4 linked regions of the Daphnia pulex genome follow. The protein of the gene in region 3 purifies or fractionates together with the protein of the main gene of each other region. This does not show direct contact. Links are inferred from orthologs where the notes say so. Each region holds a gene or a part of one and is shown on either strand. Other genes may lie near its edges.

What was found.
Region 1: the proteins of pre-mRNA-processing-splicing factor 8 (region 3) and splicing factor 3A subunit 1-like purify together in Homo sapiens (affinity purification with mass spectrometry; 4 studies listed by BioGRID and IntAct, with this or other methods). This does not show direct contact. The link is inferred for Daphnia pulex from reciprocal best matches to the Homo sapiens genes PRPF8 and SF3A1.
Region 2: the proteins of pre-mRNA-processing-splicing factor 8 (region 3) and U2 small nuclear ribonucleoprotein A'-like fractionate together in Homo sapiens (co-fractionation; 3 studies listed by BioGRID, with this or other methods). This does not show direct contact. The link is inferred for Daphnia pulex from reciprocal best matches to the Homo sapiens genes PRPF8 and SNRPA1.
Region 4: the proteins of pre-mRNA-processing-splicing factor 8 (region 3) and protein ecdysoneless-like purify together in Homo sapiens (affinity purification with mass spectrometry; 7 studies listed by BioGRID and IntAct, counting the BioPlex papers as one, with this or other methods). This does not show direct contact. The link is inferred for Daphnia pulex from reciprocal best matches to the Homo sapiens genes PRPF8 and ECD.

What each region holds. Positions count from the first base shown.
Region 1 is NC_060024.1:13,065,661-13,069,974, forward strand, and holds the start of splicing factor 3A subunit 1-like, read left to right. Parts: upstream 1-1,514; 5' UTR 1,515-1,726; coding exon 1,727-1,835; intron 1,836-1,892; coding exon 1,893-2,271; intron 2,272-2,340; coding exon 2,341-2,500; intron 2,501-2,562; coding exon 2,563-4,140; 3' UTR 4,141-4,314. Other genes in the region: proteasome subunit alpha type-2, read left to right, coding at 108-148, 209-285, 345-600, 679-1,009. UniProt on the Homo sapiens protein: Component of the 17S U2 SnRNP complex of the spliceosome, a large ribonucleoprotein complex that removes introns from transcribed pre-mRNAs.
Region 2 is NC_060021.1:10,325,758-10,329,103, forward strand, and holds U2 small nuclear ribonucleoprotein A'-like, read right to left. Parts: upstream 1,993-3,346; 5' UTR 1,850-1,992; coding exon 1,768-1,849; intron 1,631-1,767; coding exon 1,590-1,630; intron 1,531-1,589; coding exon 1,424-1,530; intron 1,360-1,423; coding exon 1,131-1,359; intron 1,068-1,130; coding exon 953-1,067; intron 891-952; coding exon 738-890; intron 675-737; coding exon 631-674; 3' UTR 501-630; downstream 1-500. Other genes in the region: lariat debranching enzyme B-like, read left to right, coding at 2,346-2,542, 2,612-2,903, 2,961-3,061, 3,133-3,319. UniProt on the Homo sapiens protein: Involved in pre-mRNA splicing as component of the spliceosome. Associated with sn-RNP U2, where it contributes to the binding of stem loop IV of U2 snRNA.
Region 3 is NC_060027.1:2,056,644-2,059,901, reverse strand, and holds the end of pre-mRNA-processing-splicing factor 8, read right to left. Parts: coding exon 2,905-3,258; intron 2,827-2,904; coding exon 720-2,826; 3' UTR 502-719; downstream 1-501. UniProt on the Homo sapiens protein: Plays a role in pre-mRNA splicing as core component of precatalytic, catalytic and postcatalytic spliceosomal complexes, both of the predominant U2-type spliceosome and the minor U12-type spliceosome.
Region 4 is NC_060018.1:5,231,281-5,234,795, forward strand, and holds the end of protein ecdysoneless-like, read left to right. Parts: intron 1-534; coding exon 535-622; intron 623-697; coding exon 698-876; intron 877-985; coding exon 986-1,127; intron 1,128-1,224; coding exon 1,225-1,404; intron 1,405-1,474; coding exon 1,475-1,600; intron 1,601-1,673; coding exon 1,674-1,854; intron 1,855-1,918; coding exon 1,919-2,233; intron 2,234-2,295; coding exon 2,296-2,480; intron 2,481-2,543; coding exon 2,544-2,744; 3' UTR 2,745-3,165; downstream 3,166-3,515. UniProt on the Homo sapiens protein: Regulator of p53/TP53 stability and function. Inhibits MDM2-mediated degradation of p53/TP53 possibly by cooperating in part with TXNIP. May be involved transcriptional regulation. In vitro has intrinsic transactivation activity enhanced by EP300.

The sequences.
Region 1 (4,314 bases), on a different chromosome or scaffold from region 3:
GAAATTTAAACTCTTCTTCATTTCCCGACCAAGTGTTGAAGGCGCATTCAATTCTGTCCTGTCATTCAATAACTGAACAGAACAGAACTAAAAAATCTAACTAGACCATGGCTTCCGAAAGATATAGTTTCTCCCTAACAACTTTCAGGTTTTCTATCATTTACTTTCTAAGTTTTGACTAAATATAACATTTATTTTCATTGTTTAGTCCTTCTGGAAAACTGGTACAAATCGAGTATGCTTTGGCCGCAGTAGCTGCCGGTGCTGCATCAGTCGGCATTAAAGGTATATTGAAATTTCAGCATGTAAAAGATTGTAACAATGTAAATAATGTTATGTTATAGCTGCCAATGGTGTCGTTCTGGCCACTGAGAAGAAGCATCGGTCAATCTTATATGAAGAACACAGTGTTCACAAGATTGAAATGATTACCCCCAAGATCGGTATGGTCTACAGTGGAATGGGTCCTGATTATCGCCTCTTGGTTCGTCAAGCAAGGAAAATGGCTCAACAATATTGGGTAACTTATCAAGAACAGATACCAACTGCCCAGCTTGTCCAGCGTGTTGCTACCCTCATGCAAGAGTACACACAGTCTGGGTAAATATTTGGTTTTGTCACAAAAAAATAGTTCTTAAATAGTATAGATGAACATTTCAATGAATTTTTGTAATGCAGAGGTGTCAGGCCATTTGGTGTTTCACTCTTGATGTGTGGCTGGGATGAAGGACGTCCATATCTGTTTCAGTGTGATCCATCAGGAGCCTACTTTGCCTGGAAAGCCACTGCCATGGGAAAGAATTACATCAATGGCAAAACTTTCCTCGAGAAAAGATACAATGAAGACCTCGAGCTCGACGATGCTGTCCACACTGCGATTCTTACTCTCAAAGAGGGTTTTGAAGGAGGCATGACAGAAGATAATGTTGAAATTGGTATTTGTAACGAGCAGGGTTTCCGCCGATTATCTCCCGCTGAGGTTAAGGATTACTTGGCGAACATTGCCTAAACGGCTCGAAAATTCTTTGATTTCAAACAAGTGTCGAAAAATAAATCTGATGGTTGCTTAATGAATTTTCTCTTGGATTTTAAAAACAAAATTCCTTTTCTTTGTTCATTGCTAAACAATCATTTTCCTACTATCTTCACTCAAATTGCCTGTTAGAAATCTTAAAATCTATCAGATAAAAGATCTAAAAGATCCAGTCATAATTCCTCAATCAGTTCAAAGTGGTTGTATTTTTTATACTTGATCATTGTTGTTTAACGTTCAAGTTTATTCTAAATTCTTACTACATACTTTCTTCATTTCTTGTATCGATTCAAACGAGCAAACAGATGAATGAACCGAATGAACTATGAATTTGGATATGATTTTGTTTTGGTACTTGACATATATTAGTGAATTCCGTATAATTCAACAGTATAGTTCAAGGGATTCTTTTTCTGAATTGAACTAATAGCAGATAAGAGTTTAACAATTTTTTCTAGGTGGAAAAAAGTGGGAAGAAGTCGGAATCGGAATTCGGAAGAAGTGGGCGCCACACTGAAATTAAACAGTCTGACAACATTGTAGCGGATAGACAGCAACGTTTTGTTGCGTTCTGCTGTTAAAGCCGGAACAGAAAAACGCTATTTAACTCACATTTTAGAAATAGAATCAGTTTTTAATTTTGACGTGAGAATCTGACAATTTCATACATCAGAATAGAGTTTGATAGTCAGCATGCCACCTGCTGTGGAAACATTGCCAGTTTCTGGTGAAGTAAATATGCCCGAGAATGCTTCTACCAAGCCTACTGTCGGCATCATTTACCCACCTCCTGAAGTCAGAAGTAAGTTTGTTGTCAACTTACAAGTTCGTGAATAATTCATAACAATTTTCTTCTTAGATATTGTGGACAAGACAGCCAGCTTTGTAGCCAGAAATGGGTTGGAGTTTGAAGCACGGATTAGGAAAAATGAGCAGAATAACCCAAAATTCAACTTTCTTAATACTGGAGATCCTTATCATGCATACTACCAGTACAAAGTTAAGGATATCAGAGAAGGAAAGCTTGCAGAAGGTGCACCTGCAGCAGCACCTGTCCCAGGCCCACCGGGAAAACCACCACCATCAGCCCCTACATCAGCACCAGCTTCGTTGGCACAGCAGCAGAAACAGCAAGAAATTTTGAAACAATTCCAGCAAGAAGCCCCTGTAATCCCAAAAGAGCCACCTCCAGAGTTTGAATTCATTGTTGATCCTCCATCGATTTCAGCCATGGAATTGTGAGTTTTTTAAATAACTATTTAAATATTATGAAGCTAAAACTTAACAACACTTGTGTCTTATTTCAGAGACATTGTGAAACTCACTGCCCAATTTGTAGCTAGGAATGGTCGCCAGTTCCTCACAAGTCTGATGAATCGTGAGGCCAGAAATTATCAGTTTGACTTTCTGCGTCCTCAGCACTCGCTTTTTCAATATTTCACTCGTCTCCTAGAACAGTACACCAAAGTATTTTGATTGGTAGATTATTTTGTTTGAATGAAAGTCTAAATGATTTTGTTATTCTTTAGGTTCTTATCCCACCGAAAGACTTGATGACCCGTTTGAACGAGGGTTGCACTAATACTAGCGTTGTCTTACAAGAAGTCAAACGACGAGCCGACTGGCAACGTCATCAAGAGGCTCAGAAACGCCGAGAAGAAGAAGAAGCTGAAAGGGAACGCGTGTCATATGCGCAAATTGATTGGCACGACTTTGTAGTCGTCGAATCAGTTGACTATCAACCATTCGAAATTGGTAATTTCCCTCCTCCCACAACCCCAGAGGAGGTCGGTGCCCGTATTCTTCTCCAGGAGCGCTACGAAGAAGGACAAGATGTTGAGATGCAGCTGGAGAGTGAAGAGGAAGACGATGATGAAGAAGACGATTCAGACACGGAACAGACAAAGCCACCACCACCACCAGGCGCACCGCCCTCTCAAGCCATCAAGGGAGATGGACTACAGCCTCCTCCAGTGGCTCCTTCTGCCGAAAACGTCATCGTGCGTAAAGACTACAATCCCAAAGCTGTGGCAAAACCACAAGCCCGTCCGCCTGCTCCAGACGAGTACCTCATCTCACCCATCACTGGAGAGCGAATTCCGGCTAGCCAAGTGGCTGAGCACATGCGTATCGGTTTGCTGGATCCGCGTTGGTTGGAGCAGCGCGATCGACAAATGCAAGAAAAGATGACTCAAGAGTCTGTGTACGCGCCCGGATCAGCCATCGAAAACAGCTTGCGAGCATTGGCTGAACGTCGTACAGATATTTTCGGTGTCGGTGACGAAGAGACAGCCATCGGTAAAAAGATTGGTGAAGAAGAGCGTCGCAAAGACGAGACCAAATGGGAAGGACAACAACCGCCTGCCCCGCCACCATCAGGTGGAGAGGGAGGATCAACGTTCCAACCCCGACCTGGTCCACCTGCTGGCCTGGTTACCATACAAGAGCAGATTGCGCAGATCCACAAGAACAAGGCGCTCATGACTGGCATGAGCGAGGAAGAAGATGGGCTAGGATCTAATGGCGTTGTAGCAGCAGCGCCACCTAAACCTCCACAACAATTAATGAGCATTCCACCAAGACCACCGGTCATGATGTCTGCTCCGCAGCCGCCACCCATGATGATGATGTCCATCCCTCAGCCGCCAATGCCAATGCCCATGGTCCCCCAGAATTCTTTCATGACGCAGATGCCTCAGTCTATGGGCATGATGCAGCAACAGCAGCAGGGTCAGGGTGGTCGAGATGTCATGGAGGAGGAGCCTCCTTCTAAACGACAGCGCAACGAGGATCAACTTATGCCTGAGGAAGCCTTTTTGGTCAGATATCCCGGTCTGCTCCACTTCCATATTGGTGCACCAGTTTACGCCGAAAAACCCGAGTGGAGATTGCAGGGCCAGCAGCTCAGCTTTTCCTTGTTGCCCACGGAACCAATCTCCGTTGTTAAGCAGAAGATTAGTGAAGCGACAGGAATGCCGCCGGCCAAGCAAAAGCTCTTTTGGGAGGGGCTCTACTTCAAGGACAATCATTCTCTGGCATTTTACAATGTTACCCCCGATGCTGTTGTCCAGCTTCAGGTGAAGGAACGAGGCGGTCGTAAGAAGTAAAAAACAATTCTGGAAAATCCTAAACCATCAAAAAACCTCATTTACATCAGTACGGACCTTGGGGGATAATTACGTAATCGGAAAGCATTTTACAACCATTTTGTCTCTCCCTCTGCTACACTGTCATCGATTCCTTCCTGGTCTCAGAAATGGAAATATATTCAACTTTTCTCA
Region 2 (3,346 bases), on a different chromosome or scaffold from region 3:
GTAGAATTTTGAACTTAAAACGATCAGTTCTGGATTTTCGTATAGCTGTAAGTTGTAACCTACAAACCAAGTTTGCTGCCATTATCACATCATCATGGCGGTGTTAGCTCATGATATTCCGGATGTGGTATCGGGAAAAATAGGAGTGGGCGCCAAAAATCTTACTCAAAACAACGAAACTTACGCACGGGCACGCTCGTTAATGAAAGGACACGAAACGCTCTAAATTAGATCGTCTACAGTTTCCAAGCTACTCCTAACCCGTCATGTCCGGCTGAAAATAACGCACACCCCCACATCCGCCTTCTATGCATGACTCATTCCGCAAATGGCAGATGAGCCTCTTCCGAATACACGTAGGATATACACACTATGTAGCATATCTAATTCTATGACTGAAAATTGGTTTCGCTACGCATTTTTCACAACACAGTTTTGTTAAAATGACCAAATTTAATCGCTTCTCGGTCTTTTAACTGTGACACAAATTAGACGGGCAATTTGTAATTTCAAAAATATCTTTCTGCTACCTTATTTACTCTAGGGTAGCGATATTTTTATTATCAAAGTGTAGTCCCACATTCACATTAACAGCTTGATACAAATTAATTTTTACCCGTGATGGCATTGTCATTTCTCCATGGGTTCATCTTCTTCCTCCTCCATATCTTCACCTACAACAATTCAAAAGTTTTAACAAACGAAACAAGGAAGTTGAAGACAGGATGTGAATTTACCATTTGCATTTCCGTTTTTGCTGGAGCCTTGGGTGGCTTTTCCAGGTACGACACCTGCCCTCAACATTTGGTTTAGACGTTCTACCTCTTCCAAGGTGGAGGCATTAGCAACAGCTTCTCGGATTGCACGAGCCTCCTCCGCAGATGCACCACCTACACAAAATAATTTAATAACATTTCTTAGGCTAACAAAACAAAACATTTGTGTTTTTTACCTATCGGTGCCTTATTTCCCGCTTCAGCTGAAAGAAACTTGCTTTTCTGGGCGATTTCTTTCGCCAATACTTTTCCTTTCTTTGATTTGAATAGGTCTCGGGCGGCTTCTCTCTCCTTCAAATCAAGTTTTACATGAATAAGGAGGAAAATTCCTGATGTCAGGTAGAACATTATTACCTTAAGTTTTACTTTACGAAAATCCAACACCCTCAGGCTTGGCAACTTGTTTATCACATATGAACGATAATGTTGCTTATTTGCAACAGGATTGCTCAGTAGACTTAAATAGGTGAGTTTAGAGAATTCTGCTAATGGGTCAAGGTCGCCCAACTCTTGCAGATGATTATTTGTCAGGACAAGGGTTTCGAGGTTTGGAATGACTTCACCTAATCCATCAGCAATGCGTCTACAGATTTTAAAGAATCATTTGCATGAAATTAAATTTGTGAATAATACAACAAAAAACTTACAAGATTCTGTTGTTGTTTAGGAGAAGACTTTTAATTCGTCTCAGCAAGGGAAAACCATCCAATTTCCTTATGTCATTATCTGAAAAATCTATTGTGTCAAACTGATCCTGAAAAAAGAAAACACTCCAGTAACTGTTCAGCATGATTACACTACAAATTTACTTACTAAAGTTGCTCCTAGGTTTTCAATTACAGGAATCTTGTAACCTAAAATGATGACAAAAAATAGCTGTATTTTCACGAAATATTTTTACAATTACATCACTTTTTTTAAGCCAACACAAAAAACTTTTGAACTTTAGTAACTGACTGAATGAGATTGAAGCTGAACGCCGGTTACATACCTCTTAAATCTAGTTCTCTTTCTTTGATGGCATTCGTGTACTGGTGGCTCAAGTGAATGACCTCAGCCGTCAACTTCACCATTTTCTTTTTGGCTTTTTAAACCTTAAACACGTAATTGAATTTGGGAAAAGATGCAATTAAAACTTGAACAAAATGTTTTTGCACGTTTGTAGTTGACAAATCTAGGGATATCTAAGTGACGCCATGTGCGATGTTGCAACTCATTTCCGAATACATTTCCAAACAGGAAATTAACTTTTCAAACTAAAGTTTTATCAAAGGTTTTGTGCATCTGTAGCTTTTTATCTTGAAATATAAATACTTTTCTAAACTAAAGTATTTAAATTTGTCAACAAAATTAAAAAAAATTATAAACGTTAGAAAATATATGAAAATGGCTGTGTTTTTGCCGCTAGGTTTTAAGCAGACGACAATAGCCACGAACGATTCGGCTTCCAGTAAAACTGTAAACAACTTCAAAATATTGAGTTTGTGTTGTAACTTGAAAGCAAGTTATCAACTTTGAAACAGCATTTGACATTTATCTTAAAATATCAAGTTAAAGACAGTATAAAACATGATTATTGCTGTTGAAGGGTGCGCTCATGGTGAACTTGATCAAATTTACCGGTCTGTCGAGAATTTGGCGAGGCAAAGAAATGTCAAAGTTGATTTGCTCATCTGTTGTGGAGATTTTCAAGCTGTTCGAAACGAAAGTGACTTACAATGCATGGCAGTACCTGACAAATTCCGTCATATCTGTACATTCTACAAGTATTTATTTATAATTGTTTTAGACAAATAAGAGTTTATTGTAATTGTTACTGTTTTTTTCAATATCAGGTATTATAATGGTGAATTGAAAGCACCAATTTTAACTATTTTCATTGGAGGCAATCATGAAGCATCAAACTATCTACAAGAACTTGCATATGGAGGCTGGGTTGCTCCAAATATATATTATCTTGGCTATGCTGGTGTAGTCAAGTTTGGTGGCATCAGAATAGCGGGAATATCAGGCATCTTTAAAGGACATGATTACTTGAAAGGACATTTTGAAAAACCTCCCTACACAAACAGCACTATGAGATCAGCTTATCATGTTCGTAGTCTTGAAGTATTTCGCTTGAAACAGGTAATTACATTTTGATTGTTTTAAAGATTAAAAACTTAAATGTCTTTTAATTTTCAGTTAAAAGAAGACATAGATATTTTTATTTCACATGATTGGCCTCGTGGTGTCTACAATTATGCAGATACCAGAGAACTTCTGCATTGGAAACCATTCTTTCGGTTTGAAATAGTGTTACCTAATTGTTCCAAAACACAATTCAATTTACACATTTCTTTCTTTCCCCTTCCAGTGATGAGATAGCCCAAAATGTATTGGGAAGTCAAGCTGGAGAAACATTACTTCACGAATTGAAGCCTAAACATTGGTTTGCTGCCCACCTTCATTGTAGGTTTGCTGCTACAATCCAACATAATGAAAAACAATCAACTCAATTTCTAGCACTTGATAAGTGTCTTCCAAGACGTCAGTACCTTGAAGTAAGATTTAATTCAGAATATTCTCGA
Region 3 (3,258 bases):
ACTGTTGTTGAACGCAAAAAATAAAGCTACAGAACTGAAATAACGAGGCATGATGATCACTGTTGGAATACAAGCAGGACTGCGAAACTGCCCTGCAAGTCTGCAACTGTCCGTGTTCACAAGACCACGTCAATAAGAGAACTGTCTCAGTAGGCGGTTTTGCTAACCCCTTAAAAGGTACAAAATGGGGAATAAATTTTTTTTAAGGGTTATGGTAATCAATTCAAGGTTGCATCTTAAAAAGTAATATTTTTCACCTGTGCATTAAAAGAACTCTGGGTGGGGAGAGGAAGGGTTAGAAAAACAAACTGAAATTGATTAAGTATTAGCTCTTGGCTGATTTCGTTGTTTTAACTTCTAGGACTTAATTATTCGTAAGCTAATCAATTCGTTAAGTTGTGTAAAGTACAAAAGGATGCTCTCTTGATCGATAGTAACTTCAGATCAAGGCAGATATGGAACAGAATGCAATGGAAACAAATTAAACGTTGCAGACGGAAATAAAATGTTTGCTCTATTGTATTCTGTTTAAATCGAATCAAACAGAAAGTACATTAAAACATGAAAAAAACTTCAAGTTATAAGAATTGGGAAGCAAAACACAAAGCTTGATTTCATGAGTTCCCAAACATATTATTTTCTATTTTCTCCGGCTATGTATTGGGAACGGGCCCCGGATGGAAACGAAAAAAGACCATACAAAAAAAAAATCAAGAAAATCAAGCGAACGAGTCATCACGATCTGCTCCGACACTGTCACCTTCCTCGATGGAGGAGAAATTCATGAAATGCGATGGCCGATGAACCTCGTGATAAAACTCCTTTGGATTGGCCAGGTGAAGTTCATACTTCATGTTAGGGTCGTGGCGAACACCCATGAAATTGTAGTTCCACGAGCCCTGGCAAGGGACCATGAAAAAGCCGAGGAATTGATCGGACAACAACATTTGCACTCGCTCGTAATGTGACGGTAGATAACCCTTGGGATTGTTGCCGCGATCCGTGTTCTGTTTGCCCCATTCAAAGCCGCTGGGCGTCAACTTGTAGGCCATGAGCGAACAAGAGCCAGGTGTGAAACTGCACGTAATGATCACAGTCTTCTCGCCATCCCAATTGGCATTGTCGGCCATCACTTTGGCGTGAGTTGTAATATCCTGTGGCGACAGTTGCGGCAACTCATTGGGTTGAGTGTGCATCCAGCCGAGTGGCTCCAGGTCTTTGAGGTACTCGTGCTGGGGTAGTTGGACGGGCAAGTGGATCGACTGATGCGTACCCCATTGAGGCGGCATCACAATGCAGCGAATCTCCTTCACCTGAGGATTGTCAGGTGGACTGATGCCGTAAAGGTATCCCGCAATCTGCGCTCTCAAGTCGGAAATGGTGACAAACTTTTTCAGCACGTTCTTGGGTAGAATGTAAGTGTAGCCCGTCTCTTTAATGTCGTCCGATGAAACGTAAATGTGATTCGTTCGGAGGTGGAGGTTGGTGGCCGAAATGGCTCGGATTCTCCATTCGGTCTTGGAGCTGAATGTCTGCGTCTCGTAATTGGAAGTGGTGCTCGTGATGATTTCGTCACCATGTTTGTTGACTGTTCGTGTCGTCGTAGCTGTCAGCTGCGTCTGCTCCTTGGTCTGCTTCTCGATTTCGGCAATCTGCTGACGTTGGGCCGAAGGGGCACTGATCTCCATACCGAGAATGATGTCTCGAATTTCAGACTGTGTCAGCGAAGCCACGTTGACGTTGTTCTTCTTGCCGTAATCCGCCAGGATGAGATCCTTGAGTTGCACTTCAACTTTGATCCATTGCTCGTCCGTCAGTGAGGGCCAAATGTGGTGGGCTTCGGTGATGGTGGTCTTGTCCGGTTTCAGCACCACCTTGGTTCGGTCATTGTTCACGTGAAGGGCGCGCAGAATAAGAATAAGACGGGAGAATGCCGTGTAGCTGGAAATGGTTTTCAGCCAATCGTCGTAGAGGTTGAACAGGACCATCTGGGGTTCGGTCGCCTTCAAAATCAAATCACCAAACTTCTCGACTTTAAGGCAGGCCTGGAAGGGAAGCTGGAGCTCAGAGCCCTTGATGACAATGTTGGGGAAATCCAGCAAATGGACTTCGAGGGGATCCAACATGCCCTTTCGTGTGACGATGATCTGTTTGGGCTGTTCTTCCACGGGCAACGATCGAATCAGGGCGGCAACTTCTTCGGCAGTCTTCCACTTCGCCAGCTGACCCAAACGCTTCTGACCGGCCCATACGGACGTGTGAATAATCTTGAGGAAAAGCTGACCAGTACGAGGATTGAAGATGAAAATGGCTCCGTTAATGGGTTTGGTCGTCAAGTTGCCTTCGAAGGTCTTGTGGATCGTGACACGGTAGACGTTTGTATCATCGACGAACCAAATGATTTGATTGGAGAACAATTCGCCGTAATTCTGCGATGACAAGTAAGGTTCCGTCGGCTCAGAAGAATACAGCTGGAGACCTTTGCGGATACGTTCGCGCAAGACGTAGAGAGCAGGATTGGCCTTCATGATCTTCGCCATGGCTTGTTGGATAAGCGGCTTGGATCCAGGGAACCAATTGCCGTATGCACTGTGCAAATTGTAGGCCAAATCCAGGGCAATCAGGACACCAGTCGGCGACGGATAGATGGACATGTTGTCTGTCGTGTAGTCGAGGAATTTAGCACGAGAATAACGTTCAATGTCGTGGGAATCGTAATCGCCCCAACGCAGCTGGACATCAATCCAGTATTTTTGTGTGGTGGTATTGTCCATGACATCACGAGAGTCAGCCAAAAGGGATGGCCGAGAAACGTTCCACTTGTACCTGAAAAAACAAAATGAAGAACATGTAACAAATATTACAACAAGGAAAACACAAGACAGAAAAATAAGTTCCACTTACGAGGCGAAGAGAAGGATGTCGGCGCAGGAAGAGTTCATCTTGTAAGATTTACGGGGATGAATAGTTTCTTTCTGCACAGTTTCAATCTCCAAAGCGTCAAGTTCCTGATCGAAAACTTGACAAAGATCCATCACGACGGATTCGTGGATCTTCTGCCACAAATGGGCACGGAAAATTTGAATCAAGGAAATCTTCAACGTCGGGATTTTGCCGTGCATGAAAATGCCAGTCAAATCGAGTTGGACCTGGAAACCAACGTAGACGTTGGCTCGGTTGATGGTTGGCGACCACCACAGAGTGAACCGACGGTTGGGAATTTGATTCAAACCGGAACGCTGGGCATTAGTCAACTTC
Region 4 (3,515 bases), on a different chromosome or scaffold from region 3:
AGGCAACTCTAAAGGAAGGTGCGGGTCCACCTGAAGTCCTCAGTTGTCCGCCGAACTTCCATTCACGTAGACACAACAGGAGCTCTCCATTTCTCTCTCTCCTCTCTATCTCTCCTGTTTTTCTTTTCCCCACTTCTTTGCCACATCGCCGCCTCTGTGCTATTTTTATATTCGCTTGCACTCTCTCGTCAGGAAGTCTTTTTCCTGTCCCCTACAAGCGATAAATTGTTTTCGTGAATCGCCGTTGATTACTTACCCAATTCCAACATGTCACCAACATGCTCTAAATTGTGCAACTGCTGGCTTTGCCGCACTCGCAGTTAATCTATTTTAGAAAAAAACCTTGTGAATTGGTAAGCGACTATTTTTGGCATCTCCAACTTTTTCAATCAATTACACTAAGCATCGCGCCAGTGGTCCGCCGTTTCTGCGGATATAATTGAATTAGTGATTTAACCGGATGGTCTAGACAATTGATATTCTAACCAGTTTTGTTGTTTGTTTGTTTTGTTTTTCTTCTTCTCCCCATCACAGAATTGTTGATTCAGATGGTGAATTCTTGCTGGTTGAAGCTGCCGATAGTCTTCCGCGTTGGGCCAACCCAGAAACTTGCATCAACAGGGTAAGTTTATTCGCTTAACTCTTTTTTTTGGAATTCCTTGACAAAGTTATAATTTTATCACTCTGAAAATTACAGGTTTTTATCCATGGTGGTCAAGTTCATATAATCAGTATAGCTGATCGTCCCTCTAGTATCACTCCTTTACCGTCAGGCCAGCCTTCTCTGATGGACGCTGTTCACATTGTTCGTTCCATGCCGCACTTGACCATAGCACCCGCTCCCATTCAAGAGCCAATCCACCAGCGCATTGACAAGTAAATTTGAAATTTCTAATTTTGTTTTCGAGTTTAAGGCCATTTCGTAATGGGGACAACTCCCCTGGTTTTTTTTTTGTGTGTGTGTTTTTTCTTTCAACTAATTCAGGTGCGTATCTCAAATCGATTCCAGTCTTCACCGTTGCAATGTATTCGTGCCTGCTGGTGTTGCCGCTTTGCTGCAATCCTATCCGACTCTTGTAGCACCAGCTATTCATGCATTCTGTCAGCGCGATGCCTCTCAACTGCAGGTATTTAAAAAGTGTCTGGTTAAAATGTCAGCTCAAACCCGAGCTCCCGAAGGCAAGGTTTAATCAATTATTTTGTTCCCCCCGTTATGTAACGTAGGTTATCCGCGCCATGCGTTTCTTTCCCCCAGAAACTCGAGTATGGACGTCAGTGACATTCACAAAATGTCTTTATGCTATGCTTGTTCACCGTAACTACCAGCCAGATCACAGGACTGGCTGGTCTTTACCACCGATTGGCGATTCCAAACGAACGGGTTCAGACCTTGGCATGAAACTTGTACGCAATTTCTTTTATCTGATTTTGTCTTTTCTGTTTTGAATTTATTTATGTTTTCAAATCATTTCAGGCTATTGGATTTGAATTACTGGCTAACGAGGAATCCTTACACCAAAAAGACGACGATTATTCTTTGGACATGGATTCACGTTGGAATCGATTCCTAAACACACTGAAAGAAAAAGGATTTTTCCAGGTAAATTTCACTGAAAGTTATTTTGTCAAATTTACAAAGTAATTTGTGTTTTTATTTCTGTTTGTTCTTTTAGGATTTCCTCGATGGTTCTAAACCACATAATGAGCTTATGGAAAAAGCTCGAGAATTTTACATCAATAGTGTGGGAGTAGAAGGACCGGCAAAGAAACCTGTCATTTTAAGACTGATGCAATCTGTTTGTGCCGATGTCGACAAATTCAAGAAAGTAGAATCCCATTTACCTGCGGATGACGGTAAGGTTTCACTTGTAAGACGTTGGTAGAACTGCAACTCATGTTTCGTTGTTATTCAATACAGATGACTCCTGGCTATCTGTTGATCCTGCCACCCTTGATCAAATTCTCGGCGACAAATTTAGTTTGTTGGGAGTCGATGATGATGACGAGGCCAAGGCCGATATCTTGCCTAAACTTGAAACCTTCCTCAATCGGACGTCAGATTATGAAGGTCTTACGCCGGCCAACGGCAGGAAGAAATCCAGAAAGCTTTCTCACCTAGCTCCGCCTTCAAGGAAGACGTCAACGCTCTCAAACGCCTCTGACGCTTCCCAACTTTCTACCAACATTGGTTTCGATCCAGATAGTTTTGCATCCGCAATGCAAGGGATTCTTGGTACGTCAATTTCTTGTAAATTTGTTGGACTTTGAAAATAATAAAAAAAAAATCTTTTGTAGATTTCGCTCTGCCAGAAGACAATTGGGATTTGGAATCAAATTCTTCTTGTTTGAGCAGCTACAGTGAAGAGGAAGAAGGCGACGAGTTGGTAGACAAGGAGATGAACAAATACATGCAAACAATGGATCAAGAATTGTTAACCACGGATGTTCATCGTACTTCCGTAGACAACCCTACTCGCAAGGTAAATTTTTGTGTGTGTGGAATTAACAAACAATTGGTAATAAGCCATCGAATTCGTTTCCAGGAATCCGTCATGAGCGAAGGTTGTGAGAGTTTCAGCGATGTGGAAAACTTTCAACCCGTAAAAATTGATTCTGCTGCTCTTGAATCCCTTCTTGCTTCCTACACAATGCAGCGTGGTGGTCCTGGTCCTGCATCTATTTTGTTGAATCAATTGAATCTTTCTCGGAGCCAGGTATCAGCCAGTAAAAAACAAACCGACTGAAGATTGTGACCTTACGTTTGTTTTTCTCCTCTTTTTCTCTTCACTCTTTCCCTATGTAATTATTATCGATGTCTTTTCATCCGCCCTATTTCCTCTTACCCATGCGATTGGGTGATTTGAGGTTTAATTTATTATTATGATTCGTCTTTTGATAAAAACTTCCGGTTTTTTTTTTCTTTAAAAAATTCGGTCCCTCACCTTTTCGAATCTGACACATTTCTCAAAAGCCAGTCGCTGCTATCCCTCTGTGATACACAACGCTCGGTGGAGGTGGTTTGTATAACGGGACTTTTTTTTTTTTTTTCCATTTCCAGCTCCATTCCTAATACATTTCGGATTTATGTATTCGCCTTCTTTGCGTTCTTCCATGTCTTTTGGCGTTATAGCTGCCATTTGAAAGATACACGAGGATTCACACTGAGCACGTCTTGTAAATTAAGTCGATACAAACGGAACGACTCGTGGGGTCAAATTACTCGTACCCACGCAAGTCACGGTTTGCCTCCAGCCCGTATCCTTGTTCCAGATTTTAAAAATACCTTTTTTTTTTGCTAAGTTGTTGTATGCGCACAAATGTGGAGTCAAAAGGGCAAGGTACAAGCTATTTTAATTCGCGTCTGGCCATTATTTTTATTCTTTTGGCTTTTTGAAGTAGTTCTAATGAATTTGAGTATCGTTAAATTGTTTGCCAACATACCAAAATGTCCAATCATCGAGTTCTCAACGGATTTGATGATAATACAGTTGAGTAAGTTTGAAGGATGCCATTAC